Neurospora crassa OR74A: one gene and its partners. The protein of the gene in region 1 interacts with the protein of each later gene in a pairwise test. Links are inferred from orthologs where the notes say so. Each region holds a gene or a part of one and is shown in the gene's direction. Other genes may lie near its edges. The genes, in order: NCU03066, NCU01257 and NCU02640.

What was found.
Region 2: the proteins of NCU03066 (region 1) and NCU01257 interact in binary tests that used the Saccharomyces cerevisiae proteins (3 or more experiments, as listed by UniProt). The link is inferred for Neurospora crassa OR74A from reciprocal best matches to the Saccharomyces cerevisiae genes NUG1 and EBP2.
Region 3: the proteins of NCU03066 (region 1) and NCU02640 interact in binary tests that used the Saccharomyces cerevisiae proteins (3 or more experiments, as listed by UniProt). The link is inferred for Neurospora crassa OR74A from reciprocal best matches to the Saccharomyces cerevisiae genes NUG1 and CGR1.

What each region holds. Positions count from the first base shown.
Region 1 is NC_026501.1:4,413,903-4,417,563, reverse strand, and holds NCU03066 (GTP-binding protein), read left to right. Parts: upstream 1-839; 5' UTR 840-944; coding exon 945-972; intron 973-1,043; coding exon 1,044-2,668; 3' UTR 2,669-3,009; downstream 3,010-3,661. Other genes in the region: NCU03065 (mitotic control protein dis3), read right to left, coding at 3,185-3,661. UniProt on the Saccharomyces cerevisiae protein: GTPase required for 60S ribosomal subunit export to the cytoplasm.
Region 2 is NC_026505.1:3,393,367-3,397,118, reverse strand, and holds NCU01257 (hypothetical protein), read left to right. Parts: upstream 1-1,521; 5' UTR 1,522-1,577; coding exon 1,578-2,532; intron 2,533-2,659; coding exon 2,660-3,015; 3' UTR 3,016-3,299; downstream 3,300-3,752. UniProt on the Saccharomyces cerevisiae protein: Required for the processing of the 27S pre-rRNA. Probably involved in the step of the processing of the 27 SA precursor into the 27 SB intermediate.
Region 3 is NC_026501.1:3,022,660-3,025,779, forward strand, and holds NCU02640 (hypothetical protein), read left to right. Parts: upstream 1-1,625; 5' UTR 1,626-1,659; coding exon 1,660-1,744; intron 1,745-1,812; coding exon 1,813-1,958; intron 1,959-2,020; coding exon 2,021-2,161; 3' UTR 2,162-2,596; downstream 2,597-3,120. Other genes in the region: arg-1 (argininosuccinate synthase), read right to left, coding at 1-410, 470-786, 855-881, 946-959, 1,039-1,052, 1,158-1,186; NCU02641 (hypothetical protein), read left to right, coding at 2,945-3,120. UniProt on the Saccharomyces cerevisiae protein: Involved in nucleolar integrity and required for processing of the pre-rRNA for the 60S ribosome subunit.

The sequences.
Region 1 (3,661 bases):
AGAACAGCGATTGAAGGGTGCGATAACTTGGGAAACAATCGGTCTCTTCCGTCTTTCTCTACGCTAAATGGGGGATACCTACGGAAGAGTTTCTGAAGATACTCCCTCATGTGAAGCGTGATAAGCGTGGTTTCTGGGTGATATGTTACCTCCCCACCACAACCCCCTTTCTTGATGCGTATTCGATGCTAGCATGCTATTTTGCTTCAGGACTTTGTCTACGTAGGCCAAGATGACCCAATGTCCGGAGTGTCTGCTCTGCCGATAATCATTGCATAGTGCAATGCCATTGTCAGCTTAAGCGACGATCAATTATGCGAGCGGGGCACGGTGTTCTGTTGAATCCATGATGATCCAAAAACTCAAAAAAAGCGTACAGCGTCCATGTGTGGTATAAACAAGTGCTTGACGACAGAACTGATGGCATCCAGAACTGCACCTTGACGGACGGTTCGATGGATTTGAGGATCGTCATGGCAGACAAGTGTTTGATTGTTGAGACGGACCGACCTAAAGTCCTCTTTCTGGAAAGGCAATGCAAACCACTTGCGTAAAGAGTCGGTAGCAATAATTCTTCATATACATATAGAGAACAAGCGCAACCACACCATAAGTGTATCAATATAATTTACATTCCACGTTTGGCTAAACACAAATCAAACATACAATACGACTGTAAATTACAGGCACGCGCATCTCCACATTCGAAGCGGGGACTTCTGGAATCTTGGTGGAGTTCAACACGGCGGATCCCTGCTTTATCAGAGCTTATCTAGGCGGTCAGCAGTGGCACAAACCGTTCCTCCACTCTAATTTTTTGACGACCATCAATCAGTACAGCCGCCCATAGTAGCGACCGGATTTTGCTGCTTTACCTTGCTGTCCCATCCTCAATTATCCTCCTGTACCTCCTTTTTTGACATTAGGAGCAGCATATCTTCAAAATGGCCGGATCGATAACAAAGCCCAAAAGTCAGTCAATCTTTCGCTGAGAACAACATATTCTTCCAATCAACACATTGACTGACGTTACTTAAAAACAGAGCCGAAATCGAAGCGTACACCCGTACGCCTCAGGCACAAGATCCAGAAGGCCTCGGCCGCGAAGCAACGCAAGGACAGAAAGCTCGCCAAGAAGAACCCAGAATGGCGCTCCAAGCTCAAGAAGGACCCGGGTATCCCGAACCTTTTCCCCTACAAGGAGAAGCTGTTGAACCAGATCGAGGAGGACCGCATTCGGAGAAAGGAACAGGAGCAGAAGCGTCGTGAGATGGCCAAGGCGGCCAAGACTGGCCAGGACACCAAGACGGGCGCCGAGGGCGATGTCGAGGCGTTCGATGACGATCTGATGGACGACGACGATGCTATGGAGGAGGATGGTAGCGACGTTGACGATGAGTCGAACCCCCTCGCTGCCCTGGTGGCCAGCGCCAGGAAAGCTGCCGAGCAGTACGACCGCGAGCTCCAGAGCGGCGACGAGATGGACGATGACGACGAGTCCGACGACGAGACCGATGGCGAACCCACACAGTCCGGCGTTATTGAGGTTCCCGGCGGCGCCTCCTCGCGCAAGGCTTTCGACAAGGTCTTCAAGCAGGTTGTTGAGCAGGCTGATGTCATTCTTTACGTCCTCGACGCCCGTGATCCCGAAGGCACCCGCTCGAGGGACGTCGAGCGCGCCGTCATGGCCGCCGCCCACGGTGGTAAGCGCCTGATCCTCATCCTCAACAAGGTCGATCTGATCCCTCCCCCGGTCCTCCGCGGCTGGCTCACCCACCTGCGCCGCTACTTCCCCACGCTGCCGCTGCGTGCCTCCAACCCTGCCCCCAACGCCCACACCTTCCAGCACCGCGACATTACCGTCCAAAGCACCAGCGCGGCTCTCTTCCGTGCGCTCAAGTCGTACGCCGTCTCGCGCAACCTCAAGCGCTCCATCCAGGTTGGCGTAATCGGCTACCCTAACGTCGGCAAGTCGTCCGTCATCAACGCCCTCCTGTCCCGCCTCAGCAACAGCCGCGGCCAGCACAACGCCTGCCCGGCCGGCGCCGAGGCCGGCGTCACCACCTCGATCCGCCAGGTCAAGATCGACAGCAAGCTGACGCTGCTCGACTCGCCCGGTATCGTGTTCCCTTCCACTGCCGGCAACTCGACCTTCACCCCCAAGAACCAGACCGAGGCGCACGCCCACCTGGTGCTCCTTAATGCCATCCCGCCCAAGCAGATCGAGGACCCGGTCCCCGCCGTGACGCTGCTGCTCAAGCGCCTGTCGGCCACCCCCGAGTTGATGGACAAGATGATGAAGGTGTACGACCTTCCCCCCTTGCTGCGCGACCCCAACAACGGCGACCCCACCATGGACTTCCTTGTCCAGGTTGCCCGCAAGCGCGGCAGGCTGGGCAGGGGCGGTATCCCCAATATCCAAGCCGCTGCCATGACTGTCGTGACCGACTGGCGCGACGGTCGTATCCAGGGCTGGATCGATGCTCCCGTCTTGGCTGTGGCTGGTACCGCCACTGCTCCTGCTCCTGCTGGCGGCAAGTCTGCTACCGCTGATGAGCCCCTAGCGGATCAGAAGGTGATCGTGACCGAGTGGGCCAAGGAGTTCAAGCTGGATGGTCTTTGGGGAGATGAGGAGGAGACGGCGACTCCGGATGTTGAGATGCAGTAGAGCGATTTATTCCCCCTATCTTTGTCTGTTGGCAGTTGTTGTTGAGCATTTCACTTTTTGGTTTCTTTTTTGTTTTCGGTTGCGTCGGTGGTCAATGTCGTAATGAGTATTTTGTTGTTTTGCATGTCAGAAACACAATACAACGAACCCCGGAGCTGGACACATCTTTGTGAAGAGGCGTTTTGGCGTCAAGGTGGGAAAGAGCAAAAAGGGAGACAGGCAGGCCGGCTGGTAGAAAATAGGTCAAATATAGCCTGATCATAAACACCTCTATGACAAAGGCTTTTGAAGTGAAGCTTTAAATTCTTTCTGACATTCCCTGCATCGTTCATCATACCGAGCTGTGTTTTCAATGGCCTATTATCGAATTCGAAAGCAACGACATTCCGAAAATGACTTCATGAACGTTTGGATAGCCGAAAGTAAAAAAACAATGTATTGCTCTACAAAAGTCCATCAAGGGTATTCTTAACCTGTACCCCTTCTCAAATACTGAAGCATCCATCTTCAACAAATCTAATAAGTACTAACAAGCTCCATCTTCACCCCCCTCTTCCCCGTCGTCTCATCCTTCTGATCCGTCACCCTCACCCTGACCTTCTGGAACAACTCCACCTTAACCTCCCTGCTTCCCGATGTGGTCAGCGTGTACGTCTCGGCATCATACGTCGCCGCCGGCTCCGGCTCCGCCAGGTCACGCAGACGGATCAAGCTCTCGATACCGAACTTCGGCACGAGCACAACAAAGCCATTGCTAAAGATCTTCATGACGAAGCCGTCCTCCTCCGTAGCCTTGCCGCGCAGGGCCTGGCCGACATAATAAGCAATGCTGGCACGGCCGGCCAACTGGGCATTGCGGTGGCGCACGTTGATGTTCTTGCACACGGCCTCAAGGCGGCCACGGGAGCGGACGGCCGGGTGGACGGCCTCGTACTCAATCGCGGCGGCGAGCTGCCGATGGGCAACTAAATCGGCGTAGCGGCGGATGGGCGA
Region 2 (3,752 bases), on another chromosome or scaffold:
CTGCTTTTCCCTCTATCATGATTGAAAAGCCCACCTCTCGTTCCGCCACAACAGCAACCTCGCCTAGGAAGCTTCTTGTCTCTGCTTCATGGTGGACTCTGCACAATGGGAGCACCCACTGACAACATCCGGAGCGGTGAGGATCTTTCCTTGATGGGAATGGAAAAAACCTTTGTCAACCGGGGATATACATCCGCACACATCACACACACCATCCTTTCACATAAACGACTTTCGCTTCTTTTTGTTGGGGATAACTTCACACGGGACTACTTTTCGTCCACACGGAGCTTTCCCTCTTCAATTTTCGACACTCAGGCAACTCACCTTATCTTTCTGGACCCTTTCTCTCTTTTGTCGTTGATTCGACACCAAACACCCTTTGCGGACTGAGGACATCGCCGGCGGGAAACGATGCAGCAACTTCTCTTTGGTTCACACTCTTCGGCAAACGTCACCTGGGAGTCGGCGGACTCACACCTTCCAACCTCAACCTCTTCCATCTGCTGGGAGGGAGCTATTTCGCGACATGCTTCTCTCTTTTGTTGGGTGGGACTTGCACGGGCTTGGGTATGGCGCTTGGTTCACCACTCCTTTTTCTTTGCGCACTTTCTTGGAATTTTCTTGGATAGGACTGTAGAGGAGGGAAGTCTTCCTTTCTGTCTTGGCAGGGAGGGGGGACTCGCGGGATGAAATTTGTGGAGGGGGAGGACCATGTGGGGAGTTTTCACTGTATCTTTCTGATCTTGGTTTGCGGAGGGGAGGGATTGTGGGGGTGAGTTGGCTTGGTTGAAGGATTTGAAGAGTGTTAGTTCTTTTAATAAAAAAAAAACCCCGGTTGACACCATATCTTTGGATGCTCTCATGACCGTGACTACCTCTATGATTGTGAATTTCATTATCATCGTATGCCTCTTCGTAAGACTTTTCAGAGCAACTGACTTTAGTGATAAAGCTGTCAACTTGCAAATGGAACGCTTGATCGATCATCAAGGCAAGATACGCGGAGGAATGGCCTCGGCTCCGAGAAAATATACTACATCCCATTACATGTATCAGCTCGACGTCCCAGACATATTTCTGATCTGTTTCGGCCAGGTTAGGTTCGTGATGTTTGCGCGGGACAAGGCTCCTCCACTGAACGCGAAGTTTGATGTATCAGGAGACTCGTGTTGAATCACCTTGACACAGGCTGCGGGTAGCTTACGAGAAACTGGGCAGAGATACACAGGGCATGGTGATATACACTAGCAATCAATCTTGAGATCACCGAGAAAACGCAGTTCGGTGGGTGACCATCACCGTGACTACAGGCCCATTGTAACTCGTAACCTGAGGGTTGGGGTTTGATGTGCCAGATTCAGAGAGAGTGTGAAGGGCACTTCCAGGAGCTGGGCTGTGGATACCTCTATGCCGGGCGCCAAGCATCCACATTTGGGTCCGCCTCCGACCCACCAGGCTTATCTTATCGGGTAATGGCAGCCGCCATGTCAAAAAAAAGTTTCCAGAACTGCAAGCGCTGCCGCTTCTCGAGCTCATCATCCAAATCGATTGTACAGCAACCCCACATAATCACAATGCCGCGACAGTCCACCCGCACAAAAAAGCCGGCCACCAAGGCTCTTGAGGCTGAGAAGATCGAGAAGATTGTTGAAGAGAAGCCCCAGAAGGAGCAGAAGAAGCGTGGCAGAAAGCCCAAGCAGGTCGTCGAAGAAACCCCTGTAGAGGACAAGATGGATGTCGAGGAGGAGCAGAAGGCGGAAGAAACCACCACTCAGACCAAGGCCGACGAGAAACCAGAGCAACAGGAAGAGGCCGGTTCAGATTCTGAGGAGGGTAGTGACGACGAAGAGGACAACGATCTCGATCTTGATGCACTTGACGAATCCGATTCCGACTCAGAATTCGAGCGCGACCTGAACGAGAAGCAATCCGCCGCCGGCATCCAGGCAAACAAGTACCAGAAGGCCGCCGAGGAATCGAGCGACGAGGAGGAGGACGAGGATGAGATCGACATTGATGAGCTCGACGTCGACGGAGAAGAAGGAGAGGAAGTCAAGGCCATTTCGAGGGCGCGCCAGACAATAAACAACAAGCAAGGTCTCCTGACGGCGCTCAAGCGCTTCGCCCTCGACACAACCGACAAAGTCCCATTCGCCTTCCACCAGTCCATCGTTGCCAAGAAGGTGACGGAGGAGTCCATCCCCTCGATCGACGACGACCTGGCCCGCGAGCTGGCCTTCATGAACCAGGCGCTCGAGGCCGCCCGCGTCGGCCGCGCCCTCCTCCGCAAGGAGGGTGTCCCCTTCACCCGCCCTACCGACTACTTTGCCGAGACGCTGCGCAGCGACGAGACTATGGAGAAGGTCAAGGCCAAGCTTATCGAGGAGGCCACGGCCAAGAAGGCCTCGGCCGAGGCGCGCAAGCAGCGCGACCTCAAGAAGTTCGGCAAGCAGGTGCAGGTGGCCAAGCAACAGGAGCGTGCCAAGCAGAAGCGTGACACACTCGAAAAGATCAATCTTCTCAAGAAGAGTACGTGCCTCTCCTACCCTTCTCCTTCCCCTTCCCTTCTTAATTCCATAACAAGTTCTCTTCCTCTTCCTTCCCCTCCCCAACTTGATGATAACTGAAGCCAACTAACCTCCGCCTCCTTAAATAGAGCGCAAGGACGGCGGTGGCCCCACCGGCGCCAACGAAGCCGAAGACCTCTTTGACGTTGCCGTCGACAACGAGCTCAAGGGCGGCCCTGGCGGCAACAACAGCAAAAAGCGCGGCCGCGACGGCAAGGAGGGCGGCGGGCCCAACGCCAAGAGGCAACGGAAGGATGCCAAGTTTGGCTTCGGCGGCAAGAAGAAGTACGCCAAATCCAACGACGCCCTCTCGTCGGGCGACGTGAGCGGGTTCAGTGCGAGGAAGATGAAATCGGGCGGCCCAGCAGGCGGCAAGCCCAAGAAGTTCAAGCCTGCGCCTAGGCCTGGTAAGGCTAGGAGAAAGGCGGGGGCTGGAAAGAGGTGAAGTGAGTAAGCTTCACTGTGGCAGGAGCGAGAAGAAGCAGTGGAAGTGAAGAGCGGTGTCGATGCCATGATGGGTAATCTGTTTAGTTTCCAACCTAGTACAACAAAAGGTCAGCACGGCAGGTTGGTGACAAAGGTGGTAGTAGCGTGTATGAGTATACATCATCATGGGACCGGTCATACAACAAACATCATTGAAGGATTCAGATCAATTCAGTAGCCACTACCTTTACTTAGATACCTAAAGAGTTCTTTTCATGCCTTACAGTTTGATGGTGTTACCCGCTTGGCTCAAAGGTCCTTTTCTCATATCATTCATCTTGCAGAATGGCTATATCCGTTCACCCGAACAAACGGGTTCCTTACTTTCACCTTCATTCAAAGGCCCCCGATGTCGGCTCGTGAACAAAAACAAATCTCGGTCACTACAGTTTGTGAGAGTATCATCCTGTCACGGACGAGCCGCGCAAGGGCCATCGCTACTTTAAGACTAGGTACTTCAGATACACTAATACACGAGACATCCCCCTTTCACTCCTCGAACCCGCATGGTAAGGGGTTTGATGCGCAACACCATCGTAACGCCTGCTTGCTGCTATTCATCGAGACGAGCCTAAACCCAAACCCAGATTCAGACCCAAATAGACCTGGGAAGACCCATAACCACCAACGCCAGACATAGACCCGCCTTTCCTGAAGCTACAAGCAAATAGAAGAAAGAAACAACAACACAAAGAG
Region 3 (3,120 bases), about 1.4 Mb from region 1:
GGTTCTCAACGATATCGACACGGCCAACACCGTGGTCGTGACCAATCTTGTTGAGGAGCTTGAAGAGCTCAACAGAGCCAGTGGTCTCCTTGCCATCGACAATGACCTTGACGGGGATACCCTTCTCAAAGACGATGGTGAACTCCTGGGGAGTGTTGGGGGCGTCCTGGGGGTCAACAGTGCGGGTCCAGAGCTCCTTGGGGGGAGTGTGGTTGGGGTCCTCAAGAATGCCAGCCTCGTAGCTGCAGTGGACAAGGTTGTCATCCATGGACCAAGGGGCCTTGGGGGTCGAGGAGACGGGGATGTTCTTGTCGGCGGCGTACTTCAGGAGATCCTGACGACCCTGGAAGCGAGCACAGAACTCGGGAAGTCTCCAGGGAGCAATGACCTTGATCTCGGGGTTGCAGGCCCTGGTGTCACGTCAGTGTTTGTGCGTCGGATGAGGCTCAAGAGGAGGGAATCAGCATACTTGAAGGCAAGCTCGAAGCGGACCTGGTCGTTGCCCTTGCCAGTGCAGCCGTGGGAGACGAACTCGCAGTTGTATTGCTCGGCAACGCGGACCTGGGCACGGGCAATGATGGGGCGGGCGAGGGAGGTGCCGAGGAGGTAGCGGTCCTCATAGATGGCATTGCACTGGATGGCACGGAAGACGATCTGGTCAACGAACTCCTGCTGGAGGTCGAGGATCACCATCTCCTCAGCACCGAGCTTCTTGGCCTTGGCGCGGACCTCATCCCAGTTCTCCTCCTGGCCGACATTGGCGAGGAAGCAGACGACGGTGTAGCCCTGTCGAGTCACTCGGGTTAATATTACAGCTCGGGAGGGGAGCGCGGGGGTTGGTTGGTTTTCTCTACCTGCTCAATCAACCAGCAGAGGATGGTCTGCAGTCACAGATGTCAGTCAATGCGCTCTATAAGATCAGAGGGAAGCTTCAGGAGGACTCACGGAAGTATCAAGACCTGTATACGGTGATCAATTGGTGAGCAATTGCATTCGTGGCAGGCGGATCTCTTGTGTTGTATAGCTCCAGGATCGTACCTCCGGAATAGGCGCTATGAACGGGAGGGACTGTCAGTCAGGCGTCAAAGCTCCAGAATAGCCTGTGCCACAAGTGGAATCACCAGACGTTATTCAACACTGCTCTGGGTGTTACTTACAGACAGACGCGGCCCTTGGACTCAGACATTTTGGCGGATTGGTGCTTGCGGAGGATGGCTACTCTCGACAGTTACAGTTCCTGAACTTGATCTTGTAAGAAAGACAAAGGCGATATCGGGCGGCAACTCGAGGCTTTTTATTAGTGTCTCCCACAGCGTCAAACAGTCGACTGAGTCACTTTATCTTATCACTGCGGGGCAGACCCTGGGATCCAACGTCAGTCACCATCAACATGAGACCAGGCACATCGATGCCGGAAGCAAGGGTGACGAGGGTCCGCCCCGCAGTTTTAACGCCTGTTCTCCATACTACGACCCGCTCAGCGATAACGTTGCAACGACAGGCCCGATAACCAATTCTGCCGTCCAAATTTTTCTGCTCGAGTGCGACCGCATTCACTGACCGCCTTTGGTAGTTCTGCGTCTGGCATCGCCGTCACAACGCTCTGCATCAAACCCAGCTAATGCACGGATTGCTGGTCGACTTTAACGATTCGCAACAATGTCCTCTACTACCACAACAACACAAACAACGTCTCAGGTGGAGACCAAGGCGGTTTCCAAGCCCCTTGGCATGAGGGTCAATGGTAAGTCTTTGTCCGTTACGTTCTGCCATCCTAGGTCGAATGAAGTACTAATTGCCATTATCCTACAGGAAAGCAATGGCACGCCCCCAAAAAGGCCTTCCGTCCCGGCTCCGGGTTGACATCGTATGAGAAACGCGCAAAGGAGAGGCAGTTGCTTGCGGCTGTCAAGGCTAAGGAGAAGGAGCTTAAGGATGAGAAGGAGGCTGAGCGCAAGGTTGGTGCAAATACGAATCCGGGAGACAAGATGCCAGGGGCTGATCCATCATTTCCACACAGAGACGCATCGAAGCCCTCAAGGAGAAGCGGGCAAAGAAGGAGGAGAAGGAACGTTACGAGAAGATGGCCGAGAAGATGCACAAGAAGAGGGTGGAGAGGCTCAAGCGCAAGGAGAAGCGCAACAAGCTTATCAACTCTTGAACGAGGAGGCTGTGAACGGCACTCAGGACATGCGGAACACCACGTCTCACTCCTTTCCGTCCAACGATGGGTACCGAACCGAATCACCGGCCTCGCCGTTCTACCAATGCCCGAAAGACGAAAGCCAAACCCCCTTCGCAGCGCGGCGTCTTCCTCGGCAAATATGATGGTAGCGGCGTTACTTTATTTTGAATGAGTGTCTATAATGGCATGGCATAATTGGAGTTGGAAGTTCGCAGCAGCCACGGAAGGCCGTGGTTTGTCAGGAAGAACTCAGCGGACAGGGCGGATGGATGAGAAACAACCCGGAAAAACAACGCCAAAAAGAAAGGCGTACATCAATGACTAGGTACTGCGGGTGATAAGGGACCACAGCAATATTCTGATACCCCAAGCAATTCTTACACGGAACATAACAAAAAGCTTACCATTACCATTCTTGGTGGCTTTGCAGCCACTTGAAACCCATCTTCCAGGTGATTCTCTTCTCGTGACAAACTTTGGTTGTGGTTATTTTGCTTCAGTTCACATGTCCAGTGAAGCAACCCCTGCACAGGTTGGATAGGTTCCGCGAAAGGATCGTTAAGGCAGCCGGCTTCCCGTCACCGGGCAGTGAGTGCCATTGGTCCCCTGCGCCGCGTCCCCGCCGCGATGCACCTCTGTGAGTCGTCGCAACGTCAGTGGCCCCGTCGACTTTAGGTACATCCTGGCTTACACCTCCACTTTTTGCCTACCCGTAGAGGTACTCTAATCTGGCGTTATTACGCATCATTACACTTTGGTATGTCTCGGAATCACCAGATAAAGCGCGATAAAGAAAAGGAAAGCCGCTCGAGTGCCGTCATGTTTCCGAACGCCCCGAATGGAGTCGAAGGGCTCAAAGGAGGATCCCACTCTCCACATCGTCAGCGACACCAAATCACTCGCTCCATCACCGAATTGCCGTCTTCGCTCCATCT